Saccharomyces cerevisiae S288C: one gene and its partners. The gene in region 1 interacts genetically with each later gene. Each region holds a gene or a part of one and is shown on either strand. Other genes may lie near its edges.

Region 1 (8,158 bases):
ATGGAATTTGTTGTGATGATACAAGAGCGGATGTTGAAAAGGCCCACCAAAAGCATAAAGTAATATATTTCCTCACTTTCATCTGATAATGGGTTAGTAGTTTATAATTATGTGACGAGGCCAAAAAACAACGGGATTAGTTTATCCTTAGTATGGTAGCCGAATGAATGAAATATGTGGAATAGATTTCTCTTTTACAAAACGGGATGTTTAAGCCAGGAAAAAGAACAGGCTTATGACAGAATTATGCATATGAAACGAGAGAAAGAACACGTCCAGCAAATATGGAGTACCTTGTTTGCCTTTAGAAAATGTTTCGGTTTCAATACTGTTCTCTTCAGCGATGCTGTTGAAGTATCAGCTCAGTTATTTAATATGCTAACCTTTCCTTTGTTTGTTTTCTTTTTCTATCTTTATTTTTTTTCCATTTACCGTTTTTTGCGTTTCAGAAAATGACCCTCATTGATTATATGAATAATAATATACACGTTATCATTTTTTATTTCTTTTATGTATGTATAGTAAAAATAAAACATGTCGAGATACGTGTATCTACATCAGAGCTGCTGAAACTATTTATTTGGCCAAAGCACCCATTGGGTCCCAGATGGGCAAGACAATCGGCTCTTCCTTACCTGAGGTGAATTTTGAAGCCAGCTCTTTTGGCAATTCATTGATATCGACCACAATTTGAAAGCAGTACTCCTCGAAGTACTTTTGAGTCATCACGTATAATCCGTCTTTACCGGAGTCTTTACCCCAGGAATTTTCAACGCGGTAGCGAAGTGGTAATTTAGACGTTTCATCGACGTGGCAGCCAGTGATCAACATAGCATGAGTCATCAAACTTTCATGGTATCTAATACGCGATGCCTTTTGCTGAGGTAAATTATAGCCGATGGCAGGATAGTTCCACAATTCAATATCCATGACACCAGTTTTCTTGTCCATGAACTTTGGAGTGTGAGATCCAAAAAAGACAGCTTTGTTATTTTGTAATCTCTTAACAACCAATTTAGATAGTGTTTCATTGTCAACATTTAAGTAAATCACGGCATCTCCGCCAAGGACGTTTCCTAAACGATCGATCTTAATTAATTTACCATATGGGTGTCTTGGATCATTGATCAATGAGACTGGCGTGGAAGGGTCCAATTTTGCGTATTTGGAGGCAAATTCTAACGGAGTCGATTTGATAGTGTGGATTTTCTTGTCTTTGTCAACGTATTCCCAAGTGAATTGCTCGTTTGGTTGCACTGGAGGTATGTCCATGAACAACGACATCAACCTGAAGATTTCTCTTTGCATTTGCTCTCTCAGAGTGACAATTATGGAATCATCGGCAGAACGCTCTTTCAAAGCTGTTCTTAGAGTCTCGGCAAATTCTCTCAGTTTAGTAGTCAACAGAGAATTCCATTTTCTGGACGCAGTAGTAGAATAAGGTAGATCCCCGTATAAATCTTTGGGGATAAGGCCATACTTCTTGACTAGGTTCAAAAACATGCTGTATTGGCCACCGTCTTCTGTTGGAGCTGCTAACAAGTATTGCACGAGACGTGAGTCGATGTCTTGATCAGCCGAGGAGACGATTTGGTCCAAGAAATAGTTGGCCTTTTCCAACTTATCGTAAAAGAACAAGTAAGCTTGGGACAGTTCGAATTCTTTTAAGTTCAATTCAGAAAGAACATTCAAGCGCAGTTGATTGGTAGCGGCAAACAACCAACATCTACCAGAGCTTTTTTGGTTGGTGACTGGAGTGGAATCAGTAGAGACAACAGTGTTGAAAACCCTGTTATCTTGCTTTTGCAGTCTAGTCTTGTTCAACAGTGCATCATCGGCATTATAATTCTTAAGGACAGTGGTTGCCAATTGATGGGTTAAGTCGGATTGAAACTCTTTGTTCCAAGAGTTGATCTTACTGATATCGATGGAAGAGGACATTCTTTTTAAAACAATTTGTGGTGCTCGTAAAAGGTGGCTTCTAAACGTCTTGAGATACAAGGACCGGGAAACAGAAGTAGGAAGCATGTAACAAAAGAGCAAGGGCTATTTATCGTTTATTTATGGGTGCCCGTCGGCGACTTGTCAGCCGGCGTTATCAATTGATTACCACATGCAACCCCATTGATTAAGAGAGCAGGTGACTTTCTGGTGGGAGGGGAAAAAAGGATGTGTCACTCACTACCCGGCGATTGCATGCTATTTGACACATACTAAAGCAAAATAACATATGTAGCATAATCAATAAAGCGACTATTTTCTAAATTTCAAAAAGCACTGAATATACGATGCCTCTTCACAGGATTAAGAGACAAAATTTGCCTGTTTGTAAAGCATATTGCCTGCCTTTCCGCTAGTTTTTTCTTTTCCACTTCCTATTTTCTTTTTTTACCAGTTTTCCCTGCTCATCGCATGAAGAAAAAAATGATAAAAGCGTTTTATGGTGATGACTAAGAAACTTGTCTTGTCAGCTGGAAAGATAAGAGAGGGAGCTTCCTTTTCCTGAGTGACAAGATAAGTGTACAAGAAAGCATGAGTGCTCTACTGTCCGAGTCTGACCTAAACGATTTTATCAGTCCCGCCCTTGCGTGCGTCAAACCTACCCAGGTGAGCGGGGGCAAGAAGGATAACGTTAACATGAACGGAGAATACGAGGTGAGCACGGAACCAGACCAACTGGAGAAGGTCTCTATTACCCTATCAGACTGCCTCGCGTGTTCTGGTTGTATAACGTCTAGTGAAGAAATCTTGTTGAGTAGCCAAAGTCACTCGGTTTTCCTGAAAAACTGGGGGAAGCTTTCGCAGCAGCAAGACAAATTCCTCGTTGTGAGTGTCTCGCCACAATGCAGACTATCTCTTGCGCAGTACTACGGCTTAACATTGGAGGCGGCCGATTTGTGTTTGATGAATTTTTTCCAAAAGCATTTCCAGTGCAAGTATATGGTTGGAACGGAGATGGGCAGAATCATATCGATTAGCAAAACCGTAGAGAAGATCATTGCGCATAAGAAACAAAAAGAAAATACCGGTGCGGACCGCAAGCCTCTATTATCTGCTGTGTGTCCGGGATTTCTTATATACACGGAAAAGACCAAACCGCAGTTGGTGCCTATGCTGCTCAATGTCAAGTCGCCTCAGCAAATTACGGGCTCGTTGATCAGAGCTACGTTCGAGAGTCTCGCTATCGCGCGTGAGTCCTTTTACCATCTGTCGCTGATGCCATGTTTTGACAAGAAACTAGAAGCGTCAAGGCCAGAATCGCTTGACGATGGGATTGACTGTGTCATTACGCCACGTGAAATAGTGACAATGTTACAAGAGTTGAATTTAGACTTCAAGTCGTTTCTTACTGAGGACACAAGTTTATATGGGCGGCTATCACCGCCGGGATGGGACCCGCGAGTCCACTGGGCGTCGAATCTGGGAGGCACTTGTGGTGGCTATGCCTACCAGTACGTAACGGCTGTCCAACGACTACACCCAGGAAGTCAGATGATAGTTCTGGAGGGTAGAAACAGCGACATTGTCGAGTACCGATTGCTGCACGATGATCGCATAATAGCCGCCGCCAGCGAGCTTTCCGGGTTTAGAAACATCCAAAATCTGGTGCGTAAACTGACCTCGGGCTCCGGGTCAGAGCGCAAGAGGAACATCACCGCTCTGCGGAAGAGACGAACAGGTCCAAAGGCGAACTCACGCGAGATGGCGGCCGCCACGGCCGCCACGGCCGATCCCTACCACTCGGACTACATCGAGGTAAACGCGTGTCCGGGTGCATGCATGAACGGTGGTGGCCTACTCAATGGCGAGCAAAACAGTCTCAAGCGGAAGCAGTTGGTTCAGACACTGAATAAGCGTCACGGAGAGGAGCTAGCAATGGTAGATCCTCTAACCCTGGGACCCAAGCTAGAAGAGGCGGCAGCCCGCCCGCTTTCGCTAGAGTACGTCTTCGCGCCCGTCAAGCAGGCCGTCGAAAAGGATCTCGTCTCTGTTGGGAGCACCTGGTAAGTAAGGTGTAGTTTTGCACCCGTGTACATAAGCGTGAAATCACCACAAACTGTGTGTATCAAGTACATAGTGACATTTAAATAATAGCAAGAACAACAATAATAGTAGCGCTACTGGAAGCACCACGTAATAGTGGAAAAGAACTGGAAAAACCGCTATAAGATGCATACTCCGGCGGTCTTACGCGGAGATACAAGCTTCCAACGGTGCTAAAAGCCCGGTTTCGGCTCGGCCGGAGGAGGAAGAGAGACGAAAAAAAAAAAAATGACTAAAAAAAAAATGGAATATTATTAATGTGGGATTTTTGGCTCAAGGTGTGGTGGCCCCTTTTCTAAGGGTGGCGAATTCTTCAATGTACGGAAAACTCGCCAAGGCTATCCCATATATAAGCAAACTGTGGGTTCATCTATATACCGACACATAACACCTAAAGTGGCTTCCTCCTGCCCCTCTCTCCCTTTTCTCCACTCACCCCTCCTTCTCCCCCTTCCCCCTCTCCAATTGGCTGTATAGACAGAAAGAGTAAATCCAATAGAATAGAAAACCACATAAGGCAAGATGAGTGAAGGCCCCGTCAAATTCGAAAAAAATACCGTCATATCTGTCTTTGGTGCGTCAGGTGATCTGGCAAAGAAGAAGACTTTTCCCGCCTTATTTGGGCTTTTCAGAGAAGGTTACCTTGATCCATCTACCAAGATCTTCGGTTATGCCCGGTCCAAATTGTCCATGGAGGAGGACCTGAAGTCCCGTGTCCTACCCCACTTGAAAAAACCTCACGGTGAAGCCGATGACTCTAAGGTCGAACAGTTCTTCAAGATGGTCAGCTACATTTCGGGAAATTACGACACAGATGAAGGCTTCGACGAATTAAGAACGCAGATCGAGAAATTCGAGAAAAGTGCCAACGTCGATGTCCCACACCGTCTCTTCTATCTGGCCTTGCCGCCAAGCGTTTTTTTGACGGTGGCCAAGCAGATCAAGAGTCGTGTGTACGCAGAGAATGGCATCACCCGTGTAATCGTAGAGAAACCTTTCGGCCACGACCTGGCCTCTGCCAGGGAGCTGCAAAAAAACCTGGGGCCCCTCTTTAAAGAAGAAGAGTTGTACAGAATTGACCATTACTTGGGTAAAGAGTTGGTCAAGAATCTTTTAGTCTTGAGGTTCGGTAACCAGTTTTTGAATGCCTCGTGGAATAGAGACAACATTCAAAGCGTTCAGATTTCGTTTAAAGAGAGGTTCGGCACCGAAGGCCGTGGCGGCTATTTCGACTCTATAGGCATAATCAGAGACGTGATGCAGAACCATCTGTTACAAATCATGACTCTCTTGACTATGGAAAGACCGGTGTCTTTTGACCCGGAATCTATTCGTGACGAAAAGGTTAAGGTTCTAAAGGCCGTGGCCCCCATCGACACGGACGACGTCCTCTTGGGCCAGTACGGTAAATCTGAGGACGGGTCTAAGCCCGCCTACGTGGATGATGACACTGTAGACAAGGACTCTAAATGTGTCACTTTTGCAGCAATGACTTTCAACATCGAAAACGAGCGTTGGGAGGGCGTCCCCATCATGATGCGTGCCGGTAAGGCTTTGAATGAGTCCAAGGTGGAGATCAGACTGCAGTACAAAGCGGTCGCATCGGGTGTCTTCAAAGACATTCCAAATAACGAACTGGTCATCAGAGTGCAGCCCGATGCCGCTGTGTACCTAAAGTTTAATGCTAAGACCCCTGGTCTGTCAAATGCTACCCAAGTCACAGATCTGAATCTAACTTACGCAAGCAGGTACCAAGACTTTTGGATTCCAGAGGCTTACGAGGTGTTGATAAGAGACGCCCTACTGGGTGACCATTCCAACTTTGTCAGAGATGACGAATTGGATATCAGTTGGGGCATATTCACCCCATTACTGAAGCACATAGAGCGTCCGGACGGTCCAACACCGGAAATTTACCCCTACGGATCAAGAGGTCCAAAGGGATTGAAGGAATATATGCAAAAACACAAGTATGTTATGCCCGAAAAGCACCCTTACGCTTGGCCCGTGACTAAGCCAGAAGATACGAAGGATAATTAGAAAAATGCAAGCACATTCATTTATCGGCTAAGTCACTGAAATTTTTTTTTTCGAGTGATTTTATCTTGCAAGCTCACTCTCTTTGTTCTTTTCTCCTCTATAATGGCATCTTCCCCCCACCAACTCCTCTCTACTTGCGTGTGTATTTGTTTGTATACATGTGTAAATATATATACATAAAAGAATGTCGTCTCATGTATTTTTTAACTTTTAGCCGCGGTCAGTGACATTTTGGCTTTCCCACCATTCCACGTCTGAAAAAAAAAAAAAAAAAAGAGATAAAATATGAATTGAATATATATCAAAAATGTCTGCAAAAATTTTTACGAATCAGTCCGATTGGACTTGTACTTATCATTGATTTGCTCGTTATGCGTCTTATCCACTTGATTAGCTATTCCCTGTAAAGTCTTAGACACTGCCTCAGTGGCCCCAATTAACGGCCGAATAATTGCCACAGGTGCAGCTCTAGCAACATAAACTGCTGCGGCGCTCGGCCCTCCCCGTTTATCATCCTTCATCTGTCCCTTTGCCCTCCATACCGCATCGTACGCAATATGCATATGCTTTTCTAATGAACTATACGCCTCCTTCAAACCCGTGGGCAGGTCGAGGGGCTGATCTGCGTACAGACTCACTATTGTGGGTTCGTTGTGATCTCCCGGTGAAGACATATCGATGACTACTGCCGTGGGCTCATGATCTCTTATCCTGGAATATTTACTACCAACTAACTGATCCTCCTCGAATAAAGTATCCAAGTCTAATACAGCTGCAGTATCACTGTCTGCACCATCAGCGGAGCCAAATTTCGATGCATCGTACACCCTGCCATTGGAACCAACACCACCGAATAGTTCCTCGGTGTTCTCCAATATCGCCTGTGTCCCTGAAGTTAATTTAACTCCCAATTTCACAAAATCTCCCGTTGTCGTTTTCAAGAAGACATTGCCACCCTTTTTCAGACTCCTTCCCAAATGCCCTTCTTGCCTGTATTCTGACATTAGTACTGTGACTAGGGTCTTCACCCCTGACCCAATCGCCATAAACGATCTGACAGGAGCCAGTCCTTCCAAAACGCCAGGCAGCTGCTTTTTGGTAATATCCGGCGTCCAAATGGCTTTCAGTTTATTATTTAATTCATCGAATCCATTTAATCCATACAGGACTACGCTTTTCAAAATAATCTTGGATCCATCAAGGGTAAAAAAATTCATCAATTCAGAAGTTTGGCCCGATCTTAAACCCGCATAATCAACTTTTTTCGGCTTATAATCTAATCTTAACTTAATTGAATTAGTGCTAAATTTTTGAATAAATACAATATCTGGATACTCATCAATTAATTCAAATCTTTTATCTTTGAACCCTAAGAACCTTATTAGAAACTCTAAAGTGTCTTGATCCACGTGAAGGCGTAAAGGCGCAACATTTAATTGCATGACTAATTCCACTGCTTGCAAAAAGTCGATCGGCCGGATAAATTCCAGGTCCAGAAGAAACATCGGAGAACTGTGTGGCCACGGTTCGTGCTTTAGCAAAGTTACAAATTTATTCCAGGTGGACGTGGGAACATTATCGATAATTTCAAATTCGTAAATGGAAACTACACATCGGTTCAAAACATCTGTGGAATTATCAGAGTTAGACTCATCGGGTTCATCTACTCGATAATTCTTCAAATTGACATGTACTTTGTTCAATTGAATCAGGGCTTTGTAATGCTTAGAAGGTCGCAAATTAACTTTAGAGACATCAGAGAAGGAATTCTGAACCCCCTGGATCTCACCATCAAGATTTCTTCTCAAATCTGTGACATTGTTTTTGTTAGCAGATATATAAATAGAGTCAAAAATATTTGCCTCTGATTGGGGTACATTTGATTTCGAACTGCTTGCTTCCGCTTTACTGAGCTCTTTATCCAGTTTTTCAACAGTATTAGCGATAAATTTCCGCGTATATTTCCAATCATACCCATCGAATAGTTTTATAACAACTTTTTCGACATCTATACTACCCCTTATATCCACATCCCTTTCTTGCTCTTTTGAGGCGATTGGTGGAGTATCTTCTT
Region 2 (7,717 bases), on another chromosome or scaffold:
CATTACATGAAAAAGGGAACAGATTTACGCGTTTAGGATGAGAAAAAAAAAAAAAGGAAAAAACGCGTAAATGAAAAGTTCTTTGTAGAACAGCTCTCTCTTAAACACATAGTAACAGCAAAAGACGCCACCAAGACAATATCCTGAAAATCGAAATTCTCGCCAAGGCATTACCATCCCATGTAAGAACGGAATAAAACAGCATTCGAAGGTTAGGTGTGGCACAAAGCCGATAAGAAAAAGAAAAGTAGTGAGGACAGGCTTAATTGAGCTAATTAAGGCGAAAAAAGGAAAAGAACTCGATAGAAAAACTTATTCATGAAGGAGACGTAAAGTCAGGCAAGGCTGCGGCATCATGTCTACTTGTCATAACTCAATTTGCCTATTTCTTACGGCTTCTCATAAAACGTCCCACACTATTCAGGGGAAGGCTACACGGAAACCCCAATAAAGGAAACGAAGAAGTGACCTTAGCCTTCGTCATCCGCGCCCACTACTCTCTTCCTAGTCGCCCGGTTGTTGAAAGTTTAATTGTGGGTTTTCTTTCACGACACACCTCACTGAAAAAAGAAACGAGCGGAGGAATAGTATGATAAATCTTCAGCATAGATGGGTAACGGGATCCCTCTGTGAGGGCCGATTATGCAGGCCTAGACCCGCACGTGACCACTTCGAGAGCAAGTTGCCTGCGAGTTTCTCTGCCCGAGGAAAAAGAAATGGAGGCAATTTACTTAATATGGTATGAGAGGATCTTTTGACGGCAAATAGATGCGCCATCTCCGAGAAAAAATCTAGACAATAACAGCGACAATTAACCTAAAGAGGATAGAAGATCGAGCAAAAAAATTTTTTTAATATGGGGTCAGTGGCGATATTATACTATAGGAGTTAAAGAGTAAGTTGAGTGTAAGGTGGTAGAATTATGATTGAACTCCGAAACTAAGCGCCGATTATGGGTGGCAAAGCGGACAGCTTTTGATATATAATCGATCGCTCTCGTAGTTGATATCCTCTCTCTTGCTTATCTTTTCCTGTATATAGTATATGTGTACATACAGATACGAATATACCTCAGTTAGTTTGTTTTAACATTAAATATTCAACAGTTGCCAGTAGCAAAAAGAATATATCCATTCATTTCGAGCTTTTTCGTCTCATTACTGATATCCAACTAACAGTCTCCTCATAGACGGTACCTTACTTTCCTTTAATATTATAATACTAGTATAGTCGCACATACTTAACTCGTCTCTCTCTAACACATAATGAAAATTTCCGCAGCTTTAATATTGTCTTCCCTTTCTTCTGTCGCATTTTCTGCCCCTGCACCTGCTCCAGCGGACAGTCACCATGAAGATCATCACAAAGATGAAAAACCAGCGGTTGTCACTGTCACTCAATACATAGATTCCAATGCCGCTACTAGTACTGTAGAATCTGCTGCTACTACCACTACATTGTCCTCATCTGAGAAGGATACCTCTGAACAGAAGCGTGATGGCGGATTCCAAGATGGTACTGTCAAATGTTCGGACTTCCCTTCTGTAAACGGTATAGTTTCCTTGGACTGGCTAGGATTTGGTGGATGGGCCTCTGTCATGGACATGGATGCCAACACTTCGTCCGAATGTAAGGATGGCTACTACTGTTCTTATGCATGTGAACCTGGAATGTCAAAGACTCAATGGCCTTCTGACCAACCAAGCGATGGTAAATCTGTTGGTGGTCTTTACTGTAAAAATGGTTACTTGTACCGTACCAACACTGATACCAGCGATTTATGTTCTACGGATGAAACATCTGCTAAGGCCATTAACAAAAAGTCTGACTCCATTGCTCTATGTAGGACGGATTACCCAGGATCAGAAAACATGGTGATTCCCACAGTGGTTGATGGTGGAGATTCACAACCAATTTCAGTCGTTGATGAAGACACTTATTATCAATGGCAGGGTAAAAAGACTTCTGCTCAGTACTATATTAACAACGCCGGTGTATCTGCAGAAGATGGGTGCATTTGGGGTACTTCTGGTTCGGATGTCGGCAACTGGGCTCCACTAGTGTTAGGTGCTGGTTCCACTAATGGAGAAACATACTTGTCGTTGATTCCAAACCCCAACAGTAACCAAGCTGCCAACTTTAACGTTAAAATAGTTGCATCCGATGGCGCTAACGTTCAGGGCAGCTGTGCGTATGAAGATGGCTCTTTCACCGGAGATGGTTCCGATGGTTGCACAGTTTCTGTTTTATCTGGATCTGCTGAATTTGTTTTCTATTAAGTCATTCTTCTTTTCGGTAAAAGAATGTCTTGTATTTTGATACCCTCAATTCCCCTTATTATTCTTTTTCTTCCGCTCTCTATTTATTATTATACATTGGGATTCCGTTATATTTTTCTCCTTTCAGTTCATTTTACTTCTTAAAAAGTTTCGTTGATCGCTATTATGCTATGGATTCAAAGATTTTCTTTTCTCTCTCTTCAAGGTGTACTCTGCATTACGGTTTTCTTTAGTTCGTTTATTTTTTTTTTGTTAACAAGGTGTTTGTATACATATATATAAATATATGGAAATATTATAGTGTTTATTTTGTTACTTCCTGCGAGTTGCAACAGAACTAACAAGATGCCATGCTGTTTTTTTTCATTTTTTGGCTATAAAAATAACAGTATCCTAGTCCTTGTGTTCGGCTTTAAAATGGAATTGCAAACCCCATAATTCCTTCTTCACACCGAACAAACCGCCTAGTAGTCGATTTTCAGAGACTCTAATGCTTTGAATATAAGTGAACCCTTTTTTCTTCAAAATTTCCTTAAGCGTGCTATCGAATGAGTAGACATCAATCAAGAGTTTCATGGTCTCCCCGTATTTGCCGCTGCTTCTAATATTTTTGGAGTGTAGCATAGCCCAATCAATCAAATCTTCGATAATGCCACTTTTTACATATACACGACGACAACCCACAGTAGTAACACTCATGACTAAATTTTCATCAGTACTTAATGTCATGTTAGGGGCTAACGAAATCAATGCAATGGGCGTTTCTCTATAAACGATGATATGCGTATTGTTCACCACTGGATCCTTTGTTTCATGTCTTGCCACCAAATCATTCAAATTGATGCCGAAAACTTTCTCACCTTTAGAACCAACAAGTTGGTTGATCTTCGACTTGAAATACGAGTCAGATACACGTGAGAGGAGGGTGAACAAGAAAGATGCACCAATTGCGGTGAACACTAAACCGCTGAGGACGACCTTCTTATTAATACGAGCCAGCTGGTAGAACCATCCAGCAACGGATCCTGTATTCCTTATCGGAAAGACAATTCTTGGCGTCAAGTAAATAAGCAGCCCAATGGTTAGAACAACAAGGATGACGGGATGGAAGAACAAATACTTATTAGCCAATGCCTGTTCTTGTCTGATGAAATCCGCGGACAAATTCAATGCAGCTGTACCATATTCTGGTTTCAAATTAACACTGTAAATAGTAGGAGGAGCATCAATATCAAGTGGTTTGTCTAATGATGCATCTACTTGTGGGACCGATGGGGCATTTTTATCGGACTTTCTACCCTCTTTCTTCTTTCTTTGTTGAACCGCCATTGTGCCACTCTTCCTACTCTTGTACTTTCGCTATGAAAAAATGTGCAACTGGAAGAGTCGTAATCAATCTAGAAAACTTAGTAAAAGTATGTGCTATATATCTATAAACATGAAAAGCTTTATTTGTGTGAGAGAGAAAAAAAGATGTTCTTTGGTCGTTATTCATTATAGTTTCCATAAAGAGCACGTGCGGGCGCGCTGGGTAATGCGGGTGTGAATTTTCAGTTATAGGTCAACTACAACAGCAGGTCGAGAGGGCTTCTTCAGAAAGCGAGAGGTCGTACCAGGGATGATGTTGCGGGAGCTGCTGTTGCTGCTGCTGATAATGCACCAGTGCAGTTGGACTGGGAAGAGCAAGTGGAACAGCCACCATCTGGATTTCCATTATTGGGTACATATTTGAGAGTGGACGCTCGATGCGATGTGGTCTTCGACGCCTCCGCTTCCTCTTGATGGCTACGATCCTCAGACGAGGCCGTTTGCGTCTCTTAACGTGTGTGTGTTGTATAATGGGAGAACAGGGTTGTCTCTCCTCGGTCTTGCGCTTTTTCACTCGCAATACAGCATGCCCAAGAGTGCAGAGCCTATCAATGAGATAATTGATTAGAATAGAATTTATCAGTGGGTCGACAATAATGAACCACTTGACAACGGTCTTGGCCGCACGTAAAACCTGTGTGGTGCGAGAAGCAACGAATCTGTATACAGTTGATACAGAACGTCGGATCAACAAAATGGGGCGTGATGAAGAAAAAAAGTGGCGATCCCGTGGAGGACATTGGTGCATGGATGATTCAATCATACAATTTACGACATTTAACCAAAGTTGCACTCTGATGGGCTCAACGACTGCTACTCGTGCCAATAATGAAACTGAAAAGCATGAAGCCATCACTGTTTTTTTCGTGGTCTTTCTATATATAAACAAAGCCTCTGTAAAGTTTTTTTTTTTCGCATAACAAACGCGCTTATCTGAGACATAACAACAGCCAACGACCGATGCCTGCGTGGAATAAACAATAATACGCTGCAGAGGATAAAAAGAGAGGTATCATGTCTATTTATTCTCTGCTTTTCTAATCAAATGTGTATTGTATGCTGAACCATGCCGGTTGGTTGCTTCTTCCGGTAATTGCATTCAAGTCCTGCAACTTTAAATGTCCTCTTATAAAGCAGGACGTGGCTTCAGAAACAAAAAATGTGTCGCCAAGAGAAAACAAGAACAGCTATCCAAGTCGAGCTGGGAAAGTAATCAGATTTTTGTATATGTATAGGTACTTTCTTGATCCGTAAGCTGGAACTTCTTTCATGATCTCTGTTATAGGAAAGCCAGAATAGAAAGAATCCGCCCGTAAAAAGAAAAATAAAGCAAACTCGATACAATTTCATGCAAGAAGGCCATTTGCTAATTCCAAGAGCGAGGTAAACACACAAGAAAAAATGGTCAAACCAATTATAGCTCCCAGTATCCTTGCTTCTGACTTCGCCAACTTGGGTTGCGAATGTCATAAGGTCATCAACGCCGGCGCAGATTGGTTACATATCGATGTCATGGACGGCCATTTTGTTCCAAACATTACTCTGGGCCAACCAATTGTTACCTCCCTACGTCGTTCTGTGCCACGCCCTGGCGATGCTAGCAACACAGAAAAGAAGCCCACTGCGTTCTTCGATTGTCACATGATGGTTGAAAATCCTGAAAAATGGGTCGACGATTTTGCTAAATGTGGTGCTGACCAATTTACGTTCCACTACGAGGCCACACAAGACCCTTTGCATTTAGTTAAGTTGATTAAGTCTAAGGGCATCAAAGCTGCATGCGCCATCAAACCTGGTACTTCTGTTGACGTTTTATTTGAACTAGCTCCTCATTTGGATATGGCTCTTGTTATGACTGTGGAACCTGGGTTTGGAGGCCAAAAATTCATGGAAGACATGATGCCAAAAGTGGAAACTTTGAGAGCCAAGTTCCCCCATTTGAATATCCAAGTCGATGGTGGTTTGGGCAAGGAGACCATCCCGAAAGCCGCCAAAGCCGGTGCCAACGTTATTGTCGCTGGTACCAGTGTTTTCACTGCAGCTGACCCGCACGATGTTATCTCCTTCATGAAAGAAGAAGTCTCGAAGGAATTGCGTTCTAGAGATTTGCTAGATTAGTTGTACATATGCGGCATTTCTTATATTTATACTCTCTATACTATACGATATGGTATTTTTTTCTCGTTTTGATCTCCTAATATACATAAACCGAGCCATTCCTACTATACAAGATACGTAAGTGCCTAACTCATGGGAAAAATGGGCCGCCCAGGGTGGTGCCTTGTCCGTTTTCGATGATCAATCCCTGGGATGCAGTATCGTCAATGACACTCCATAAGGCTTCCTTAACCAAAGTCAAAGAACTCTTCTTTTCATTCTCTTTCACTTTCTTACCGCCATCTAGATCAATATCCATTTCGTCTTCTAGCTTAGCGCTTGCGTCAACCAATAATTTTCTCTGTGTAGCATATTTTAAGTTTCTCTCGATTTTCTTAGCTCTCTTTTTGGAAAGTGTCCTCGTGGTGATGGAGGCCGGAGAAGATGAAGCATTTTGTAATGTCACAGCAGTGGAATTCTGACTTTCGTTCTTCTTGTTTTGGAAGTATAGGTCCAACGCTACTGATTTTATTTCCCCAGATTTCGAATTTACGCTGGATCTAGCTGGCTTCAAGAGACCAGCTCTTTCTCTTTGAGCTCTTTTCTTATTTAAAGAGTGCACCTTGTGGTGCAAATTTGAAGTCAGCTTAGGTCTGTTGATGGAGTTTTTAGAAGGCATTATGGGTTGGCTGTGCTAGTCTCTTCGGCAAGCACCTCATCGACTAATGCCGCCATAAGTTATAACCATATATTAATATTGATACTCTCTATGAAAATTTTAGCGAAAAAAAATTTTGCGATGAGATCATTCCAAACGGATTGACGCGTGGAAGAAACCGGCGATTTTCTGGTTTCTGGTTCTTTGATGGAAGTTGGACGAGACGGTGAAGAATAGAACAAGGGACAGGTTAACTAGACTCAATCGATTAAAAACATACATACTACCAGGGCAAAATGTCTGAAAATAAGAACTCTGAGGCTGAAGACGTATTTGAATTTTTAGATTCTTTGCCAGAAGCAAAGAATGGCGGGAAAATGGTTAATACTGACGTAAAGGGTAGCCAAGAAGGCGTTAAGGGAGGTTCTAATTCTGTGGCGGGCAAGACCGGGAATGATGGAAAGAAAGGTGACGATGATATCTTTGAATTCTTAGAAGAGTTGGAGAAGAGTAACTTAAGCTTAACTGACAAGAAAGGGGTTGAAAAGAAGGCTCCCAGTGAATCAGTTAATAATAAAGCACAAGACGAAAAAGTAGAAGAATCAAAAGAAAACAAAAATTCCGAGCAGGACGCTCACGGAAAGGAAAAGGAACCACAGCAGCAGGAGAAAGAAGAAGAAGAGGAGGAAGAAGAAGAAGAAGAAGAGGAGGAGGAGGAGACCCCATTGCATGACCCAATTGCTTCTATTTCAAACTGGTGGTCCTCCTCTGGATCCGCAAAGGTATCGAGTATTTGGAATAAAACTGCAGAACAAGCATCCCAGATCAAAAACCGACTTGCCCAAGAACAGCTTGATTTGACTTCAAAGATAAACACGAGCACGATTACTGAAATAGCCAGAAACTTACAGAAAATCGTTGTTGGTGAGACTGAAGAGGTGCTGCGAATTCATCTAGTCCATGATTTGGTTAACTATCCCTCATTACAATACAATATTGAAAGCAAGTTTGATCAAGTTCTAAGCTCACAAGTTGAGGGAGGAATCAGAATATTTGTAGATGAATGGGGCCATCCTAACAATAATGGAATTACACCTGTGGAAAAAAAGCCTTCAGTTGCAGACGGTGAGTTAGGCAACTCTAAAAAAAAATTACAGTTTAATCTATTCGACGGCAAGGTAACAGACGGTGAGAAACTGGCATTTGCAAACCTGGAAAATGCAGTCAAACTCTTCAATACTGCACATGAGGAATACCAGAAACAACAGAAAGAGGCTGATGCCACTCCAGATGACGATAGGAGTTCTATTAGCAG
Region 3 (7,807 bases), on another chromosome or scaffold:
CCTCTTTTTTTAGTACTTTCATAACATTTTTCATTCTTTGAATATACGGTAAGTCGATGATTGGGGGTCTCCCACGCTTTACCTGAGTTCTGGATACCTGTCTATGCCTTGGGCCTAACGGCTGAGGGGTGCCTGAGTGAGATGGAGTAGTGGACCTGTTGTCTCTTAATGGTTTCCGAGTATATGGATTAATATTTATTAGTGGCTTTCTTATCAAATCAGGAAAATCAGCATCCTTAGGGTTATCGATATCCATATCCGTCGCCTCATAGTCCTCATCATTATTTGTATCGGTTCCTGGTTCTGATTCTCTTTTGACGGAAGTACGAGTCTTTCTTAATCTTCTGGCTGCTTCTGTTGAATTCATTGAAGAGCTCGACTCGGCTCTGGCTGCATTAGCTCTCGCTACTTCCTCAGCTTTTTCTCTTAATTTCTGTTGAAACTCTTCATAACCTGGTTCATCGGGTAGAGGACCCAAATCAGGATACACTAATTGAGGATATTTTTCTTTTAAATTTGGATAGATTGTGTCCTTTAAATATTTCTCAAGGACTAAGGCGTATTTATAAATTCCTGAATCTCTTGTATTGTAAGTCTTGGCATTCCATGGAATCTGGACAACATCGTTCATAAACTGTTGAGCATCTGTATAATGTGGAATACGCTTTTTTAAAGTATTGAAAGATACAGGGTTCTTGATCACTGCGTAGTAGTCAGGATAATCCTTTTTAGGTGGAAGGACATTGAATATTGGTGAAATCTCTAACCCAGAATCTTCCTTTAAAGTGAAAAGAGATTCATATTCTTTCCTCAGGTCCTTGTATAATGCGCTTGAGTTTTGAGTGGACGAGTTTGAATTGTCATCAGGCATCATGCACTGTCAATGTAGAATATTCTCCGCTTCGTCTGGTTCTGCGCGACGTGCTGTATATTTGATCACGTATTGAACTGTTACCAATACTTTTTTCAGCTGTGTTGTTTTCTCTATTTTCTCACTTTAACATGCGAATTTTCGCACGACTCTCGGCCGGGTGAGAAAAGTCAGTGACAGTAATAAACCAAGTGCAAGAGCACCTACAAATGTGCTTATTACAGTGTATTATTATGTATATATGTGCATACGTGTGTGTATGCACAATTTTTGAACATACTGTCTTTTGAACGTTTGAAAACTCGTAGGAATATATAAAAAAACTGCAAATTACTACACACTTTATTTTTGGAGAGAGAGAGGAGCCGAGTTCAGGCAGCTACAAATTCTTGTAGAGATAAATACGTGAACGAGAAACACTAGATAAATTGTCCTTCCCCATAAACGCCAATAACGGCTTGTACAAAGCCAACAATAGCAATAGCAGTTGCTGCAATTAGATTTTTAGTATGGATTGGGGGACCGGTGTGCAATGCCTCTGCCGGCTTTGATACTGTGGTTGCTGCAGGCTTCCCGTCTCGAGGTGTATTTTCTGAAGCATGGTTGTCTTCACCTAAATCAATAATAGAATCGCTCAGTTCGGAAGCAGCGAGTTTGCTGTCTTCGGGAAATAAAGAAGATTCCTTAGAGACTTTACTGTACTTTCTAGACTGATAGTTGGAGGCACATCCTAGAACAAATGAAGATAATGGAGCTACAAGCATACCATAGAGTAAGTAGGGGTGTCTCAATGAGGGAGGAGCGCCGAAAAAGCTCACACAAAAGAAAGTTGACGCAAACGCTCCCAAGGCGGTGGCCGCATTTTTCAAAGTGGTTAAAGTGGGAGTAAGGGATCCTGTTAAAACCTCTAGTGGAGTAGTAGATGTAATCAATGAAGCGGAAGCCAAAAGACCAGAGTAGAGGCCTATAGAAGAAACTGCGATACCTTTTGTGATGGCTAAACAAACAGACATCTTTTTATATGTTTTTACTTCTGTATATCGTGAAGTAGTAAGTGATAAGCGAATTTGGCTAAGAACGTTGTAAGTGAACAAGGGACCTCTTTTGCCTTTCAAAAAAGGATTAAATGGAGTTAATCATTGAGATTTAGTTTTCGTTAGATTCTGTATCCCTAAATAACTCCCTTACCCGACGGGAAGGCACAAAAGACTTGAATAATAGCAAACGGCCAGTAGCCAAGACCAAATAATACTAGAGTTAACTGATGGTCTTAAACAGGCATTACGTGGTGAACTCCAAGACCAATATACAAAATATCGATAAGTTATTCTTGCCCACCAATTTAAGGAGCCTACATCAGGACAGTAGTACCATTCCTCAGAGAAGAGGTATACATAACAAGAAAATCGCGTGAACACCTTATATAACTTAGCCCGTTATTGAGCTAAAAAACCTTGCAAAATTTCCTATGAATAAGAATACTTCAGACGTGATAAAAATTTACTTTCTAACTCTTCTCACGCTGCCCCTATCTGTTCTTCCGCTCTACCGTGAGAAATAAAGCATCGAGTACGGCAGTTCGCTGTCACTGAACTAAAACAATAAGGCTAGTTCGAATGATGAACTTGCTTGCTGTCAAACTTCTGAGTTGCCGCTGATGTGACACTGTGACAATAAATTCAAACCGGTTATAGCGGTCTCCTCCGGTACCGGTTCTGCCACCTCCAATAGAGCTCAGTAGGAGTCAGAACCTCTGCGGTGGCTGTCAGTGACTCATCCGCGTTTCGTAAGTTGTGCGCGTGCACATTTCGCCCGTTCCCGCTCATCTTGCAGCAGGCGAAATTTTCATCACGCTGTAGGACGCAAAAAAAAAATAATTAATCGTACAAGAATCTTGGAAAAAAAATTGAAAAATTTTGTATAAAAGGGATGACCTAACTTGACTCAATGGCTTTTACACCCAGTATTTTCCCTTTCCTTGTTTGTTACAATTATAGAAGCAAGACAAAAACATATAGACAACCTATTCCTAGGAGTTATATTTTTTTACCCTACCAGCAATATAAGTAAAAAATAAAACATGTTGAGAACTCAAGCCGCCAGATTGATCTGCAACTCCCGTGTCATCACTGCTAAGAGAACCTTTGCTTTGGCCACCCGTGCTGCTGCTTACAGCAGACCAGCTGCCCGTTTCGTTAAGCCAATGATCACTACCCGTGGTTTGAAGCAAATCAACTTCGGTGGTACTGTTGAAACCGTCTACGAAAGAGCTGACTGGCCAAGAGAAAAGTTGTTGGACTACTTCAAGAACGACACTTTTGCTTTGATCGGTTACGGTTCCCAAGGTTACGGTCAAGGTTTGAACTTGAGAGACAACGGTTTGAACGTTATCATTGGTGTCCGTAAAGATGGTGCTTCTTGGAAGGCTGCCATCGAAGACGGTTGGGTTCCAGGCAAGAACTTGTTCACTGTTGAAGATGCTATCAAGAGAGGTAGTTACGTTATGAACTTGTTGTCCGATGCCGCTCAATCAGAAACCTGGCCTGCTATCAAGCCATTGTTGACCAAGGGTAAGACTTTGTACTTCTCCCACGGTTTCTCCCCAGTCTTCAAGGACTTGACTCACGTTGAACCACCAAAGGACTTAGATGTTATCTTGGTTGCTCCAAAGGGTTCCGGTAGAACTGTCAGATCTTTGTTCAAGGAAGGTCGTGGTATTAACTCTTCTTACGCCGTCTGGAACGATGTCACCGGTAAGGCTCACGAAAAGGCCCAAGCTTTGGCCGTTGCCATTGGTTCCGGTTACGTTTACCAAACCACTTTCGAAAGAGAAGTCAACTCTGACTTGTACGGTGAAAGAGGTTGTTTAATGGGTGGTATCCACGGTATGTTCTTGGCTCAATACGACGTCTTGAGAGAAAACGGTCACTCCCCATCTGAAGCTTTCAACGAAACCGTCGAAGAAGCTACCCAATCTCTATACCCATTGATCGGTAAGTACGGTATGGATTACATGTACGATGCTTGTTCCACCACCGCCAGAAGAGGTGCTTTGGACTGGTACCCAATCTTCAAGAATGCTTTGAAGCCTGTTTTCCAAGACTTGTACGAATCTACCAAGAACGGTACCGAAACCAAGAGATCTTTGGAATTCAACTCTCAACCTGACTACAGAGAAAAGCTAGAAAAGGAATTAGACACCATCAGAAACATGGAAATCTGGAAGGTTGGTAAGGAAGTCAGAAAGTTGAGACCAGAAAACCAATAAAGAGGAAAATAATATCAAGTGCTGGAAACTTTTTCTCTTGGAATTTTTGCAACATCAAGTCATAGTCAATTGAATTGACCCAATTTCACATTTAAGATTTTTTTTTTTTCATCCGACATACATCTGTACACTAGGAAGCCCTGTTTTTCTGAAGCAGCTTCAAATATATATATTTTTTACATATTTATTATGATTCAATGAACAATCTAATTAAATCGAAAACAAGAACCGAAACGCGAATAAATAATTTATTTAGATGGTGACAAGTGTATAAGTCCTCATCGGGACAGCTACGATTTCTCTTTCGGTTTTGGCTGAGCTACTGGTTGCTGTGACGCAGCGGCATTAGCGCGGCGTTATGAGCTACCCTCGTGGCCTGAAAGATGGCGGGAATAAAGCGGAACTAAAAATTACTGACTGAGCCATATTGAGGTCAATTTGTCAACTCGTCAAGTCACGTTTGGTGGACGGCCCCTTTCCAACGAATCGTATATACTAACATGCGCGCGCTTCCTATATACACATATACATATATATATATATATATATGTGTGCGTGTATGTGTACACCTGTATTTAATTTCCTTACTCGCGGGTTTTTCTTTTTTCTCAATTCTTGGCTTCCTCTTTCTCGAGTATATAATTTTTCAGGTAAAATTTAGTACGATAGTAAAATACTTCTCGAACTCGTCACATATACGTGTACATAATGTCTGAACCAGCTCAAAAGAAACAAAAGGTTGCTAACAACTCTCTAGAACAATTGAAAGCCTCCGGCACTGTCGTTGTTGCCGACACTGGTGATTTCGGCTCTATTGCCAAGTTTCAACCTCAAGACTCCACAACTAACCCATCATTGATCTTGGCTGCTGCCAAGCAACCAACTTACGCCAAGTTGATCGATGTTGCCGTGGAATACGGTAAGAAGCATGGTAAGACCACCGAAGAACAAGTCGAAAATGCTGTGGACAGATTGTTAGTCGAATTCGGTAAGGAGATCTTAAAGATTGTTCCAGGCAGAGTCTCCACCGAAGTTGATGCTAGATTGTCTTTTGACACTCAAGCTACCATTGAAAAGGCTAGACATATCATTAAATTGTTTGAACAAGAAGGTGTCTCCAAGGAAAGAGTCCTTATTAAAATTGCTTCCACTTGGGAAGGTATTCAAGCTGCCAAAGAATTGGAAGAAAAGGACGGTATCCACTGTAATTTGACTCTATTATTCTCCTTCGTTCAAGCAGTTGCCTGTGCCGAGGCCCAAGTTACTTTGATTTCCCCATTTGTTGGTAGAATTCTAGACTGGTACAAATCCAGCACTGGTAAAGATTACAAGGGTGAAGCCGACCCAGGTGTTATTTCCGTCAAGAAAATCTACAACTACTACAAGAAGTACGGTTACAAGACTATTGTTATGGGTGCTTCTTTCAGAAGCACTGACGAAATCAAAAACTTGGCTGGTGTTGACTATCTAACAATTTCTCCAGCTTTATTGGACAAGTTGATGAACAGTACTGAACCTTTCCCAAGAGTTTTGGACCCTGTCTCCGCTAAGAAGGAAGCCGGCGACAAGATTTCTTACATCAGCGACGAATCTAAATTCAGATTCGACTTGAATGAAGACGCTATGGCCACTGAAAAATTGTCCGAAGGTATCAGAAAATTCTCTGCCGATATTGTTACTCTATTCGACTTGATTGAAAAGAAAGTTACCGCTTAAGGAAGTATCTCGGAAATATTAATTTAGGCCATGTCCTTATGCACGTTTCTTTTGATACTTACGGGTACATGTACACAAGTATATCTATATATATAAATTAATGAAAATCCCCTATTTATATATATGACTTTAACGAGACAGAACAGTTTTTTATTTTTTATCCTATTTGATGAATGATACAGTTTCTTATTCACGTGTTATACCCACACCAAATCCAATAGCAATACCGGCCATCACAATCACTGTTTCGGCAGCCCCTAAGATCAGACAAAACATCCGGAACCACCTTAAATCAACGTCCCATATGAATCCTTGCAGCAAAGCCGCTCGGTGTTCTTTATTCATAAGCAACCTCATTAATCTATAGTCTGAAACTAATTTCCTTCTTGAGCTGCAGCCAATAATAAAAAATAATGGCGGCACTATACTACAACATAGGAGGATCACAATGATGTTTTCGATGCTGTAAACGTCCCTGAATCCATTTTGACCTGAATCAAACGAATGAATGGAAGCGGTATCGATATGTTGAATTGGCATTCTCGCCTCCAGGTCTATATTTTCAGCATCGTGCCTGTCTTCTTTCCTATTATCAGTTTTTTCTTGTTGCTTTCGTCGTATGCTTCGAGCTGGCTTTTCTATAATGGAGTTCTGTCCCGTGTCTGACTCCGAGCTTTGAGATTTAATTGGAGCTAGCACGAGGGGTTGTCCATGTTCTGGCAACGTTTTATTTTTCTTCTTGTTCATCTTGGTCAATGGAGAGGGCGTCTTGTGTCCTTCATAGCGTGAAAATGGATCAGACTTAGTTGAATTTCCAGATTCTAAGCGTAAAGGTGTCTTCGTCCATTTGCTTGGTCCGGACACACTTCTTAATACGGGAATTGAAGGTAGTCCAATTGGTGGACCTTCTTCTTCTAGGGATGTGGAGGGCTTGCGCGTAGATTTTGAACTGAATTTTTCTTCATTATTATGCCCTATATGGTCTTTAGGAGAACTTTCGTTACTACTGTCACTATTGTGTGAAGGAATCAATATGTTACCAATTAACGATGGACTCTGAGGAATTTTAATCTTCCTTGCCGACGTACCTGGCGCACCTGGCGAATGCGAATCATCACTTGTCGACGACTTTATTGATCCAGCCTTCTCTGGAATTTTTAGTTTGTGCGGTATAAATTTTGATTCATTCACAGGTTCGTATTGATCTATGACTTCATCCTCGGTCTCGCCTTCACCTTTACTGCCAGTTGAGCTTATAAAATTAACATTAGAAGTTTTATTCTTCGTTAGCCTCACTGCCTCTTCAACATCTGGTTCTAAGGTGTCATCGTAATGGTATGAGAAAAATGAGTGTTCCGTTGTTTCATTAGGTTCAATTGAGGTAGGACGTGGAGGTGTTCCATTCTTTGACTCGTCGTTCCCGCGATTCGCCAAAGATGAGTATAATGAAGATACGACCCTACTATGCTCTTGCTCTATAGGGCTTCCTTCAACATCTTCTCCCATAAGAACTGAAGTTGATATTGTCAGTGCGCAACTTAATCTCTGCGAAGATGGTGAATTCACTGCTCTTTCTGGCCGTACCGCCGCGTTTTGTGAAGGAGTTACGTTCCTTAACGGTACGGTATCCTCGTTGTCTCGTCGAAGTGAAGTTGGCCTTACAGTAGTGTTGCTTGGTATATTATTATCTTGGGTATCGTGAAATTGTGTAATAGAGGACGAGTTGCTACTAGAGCTAGAGCTTGTGGATGCTCCCATTATTTGAGAAAACCTTTCATTGTTGATGTATACAGCAAATCCTTGACCTCTACTTGTGGTTTCATAGGCAACAGTAGCCATCTCTGTCTCCGCATCGGGGTTCCCATGTGCTCCATTAAGATTTTCAAAAAACAAGGATGTTCTTAGTTGTAGTCTGGATGATACAGAGGAAGTACCACTATATGAAGTTGATG

The links. A genetic interaction does not mean that the proteins touch.
Region 2: mutations in ZWF1 (region 1) and RPE1 are lethal when combined (synthetic lethality), as found in Saccharomyces cerevisiae (4 studies listed by BioGRID, with this or other methods).
Region 3: mutations in ZWF1 (region 1) and TAL1 impair growth when combined (synthetic growth defect), as found in Saccharomyces cerevisiae (4 studies listed by BioGRID, with this or other methods).

Annotation. Positions count from the first base shown.
Region 1 is NC_001146.8:194,352-202,509, reverse strand, and holds ZWF1 (glucose-6-phosphate dehydrogenase), read left to right. Parts: upstream 1-4,566; coding exon 4,567-6,084; downstream 6,085-8,158. Other genes in the region: kexin KEX2, read right to left, coding at 1-82; LAP3 (bleomycin hydrolase), read right to left, coding at 577-1,941; iron-sulfur cluster assembly protein NAR1, read left to right, coding at 2,533-4,008; ATG2 (Atg2p), read right to left, coding at 6,408-8,158. UniProt on the Saccharomyces cerevisiae protein: Catalyzes the rate-limiting step of the oxidative pentose-phosphate pathway, which represents a route for the dissimilation of carbohydrates besides glycolysis.
Region 2 is NC_001142.9:188,422-196,138, reverse strand, and holds RPE1 (ribulose-phosphate 3-epimerase RPE1), read left to right. Parts: upstream 1-5,048; coding exon 5,049-5,765; downstream 5,766-7,717. Other genes in the region: SUN family protein NCA3, read left to right, coding at 1,266-2,279; PHO86 (Pho86p), read right to left, coding at 2,673-3,608; YJL118W (uncharacterized protein), read right to left, coding at 3,841-4,500; ALB1 (Alb1p), read right to left, coding at 5,896-6,423; DUF5427 domain-containing protein MTC1, read left to right, coding at 6,699-7,717.
Region 3 is NC_001144.5:834,398-842,204, reverse strand, and holds TAL1 (sedoheptulose-7-phosphate:D-glyceraldehyde-3-phosphate transaldolase TAL1), read left to right. Parts: upstream 1-4,847; coding exon 4,848-5,855; downstream 5,856-7,807. Other genes in the region: RSC2 (Rsc2p), read right to left, coding at 1-874; ATG33 (Atg33p), read right to left, coding at 1,291-1,884; ILV5 (ketol-acid reductoisomerase), read left to right, coding at 2,952-4,139; BUD8 (Bud8p), read right to left, coding at 6,042-7,807. UniProt on the Saccharomyces cerevisiae protein: Transaldolase is important for the balance of metabolites in the pentose-phosphate pathway.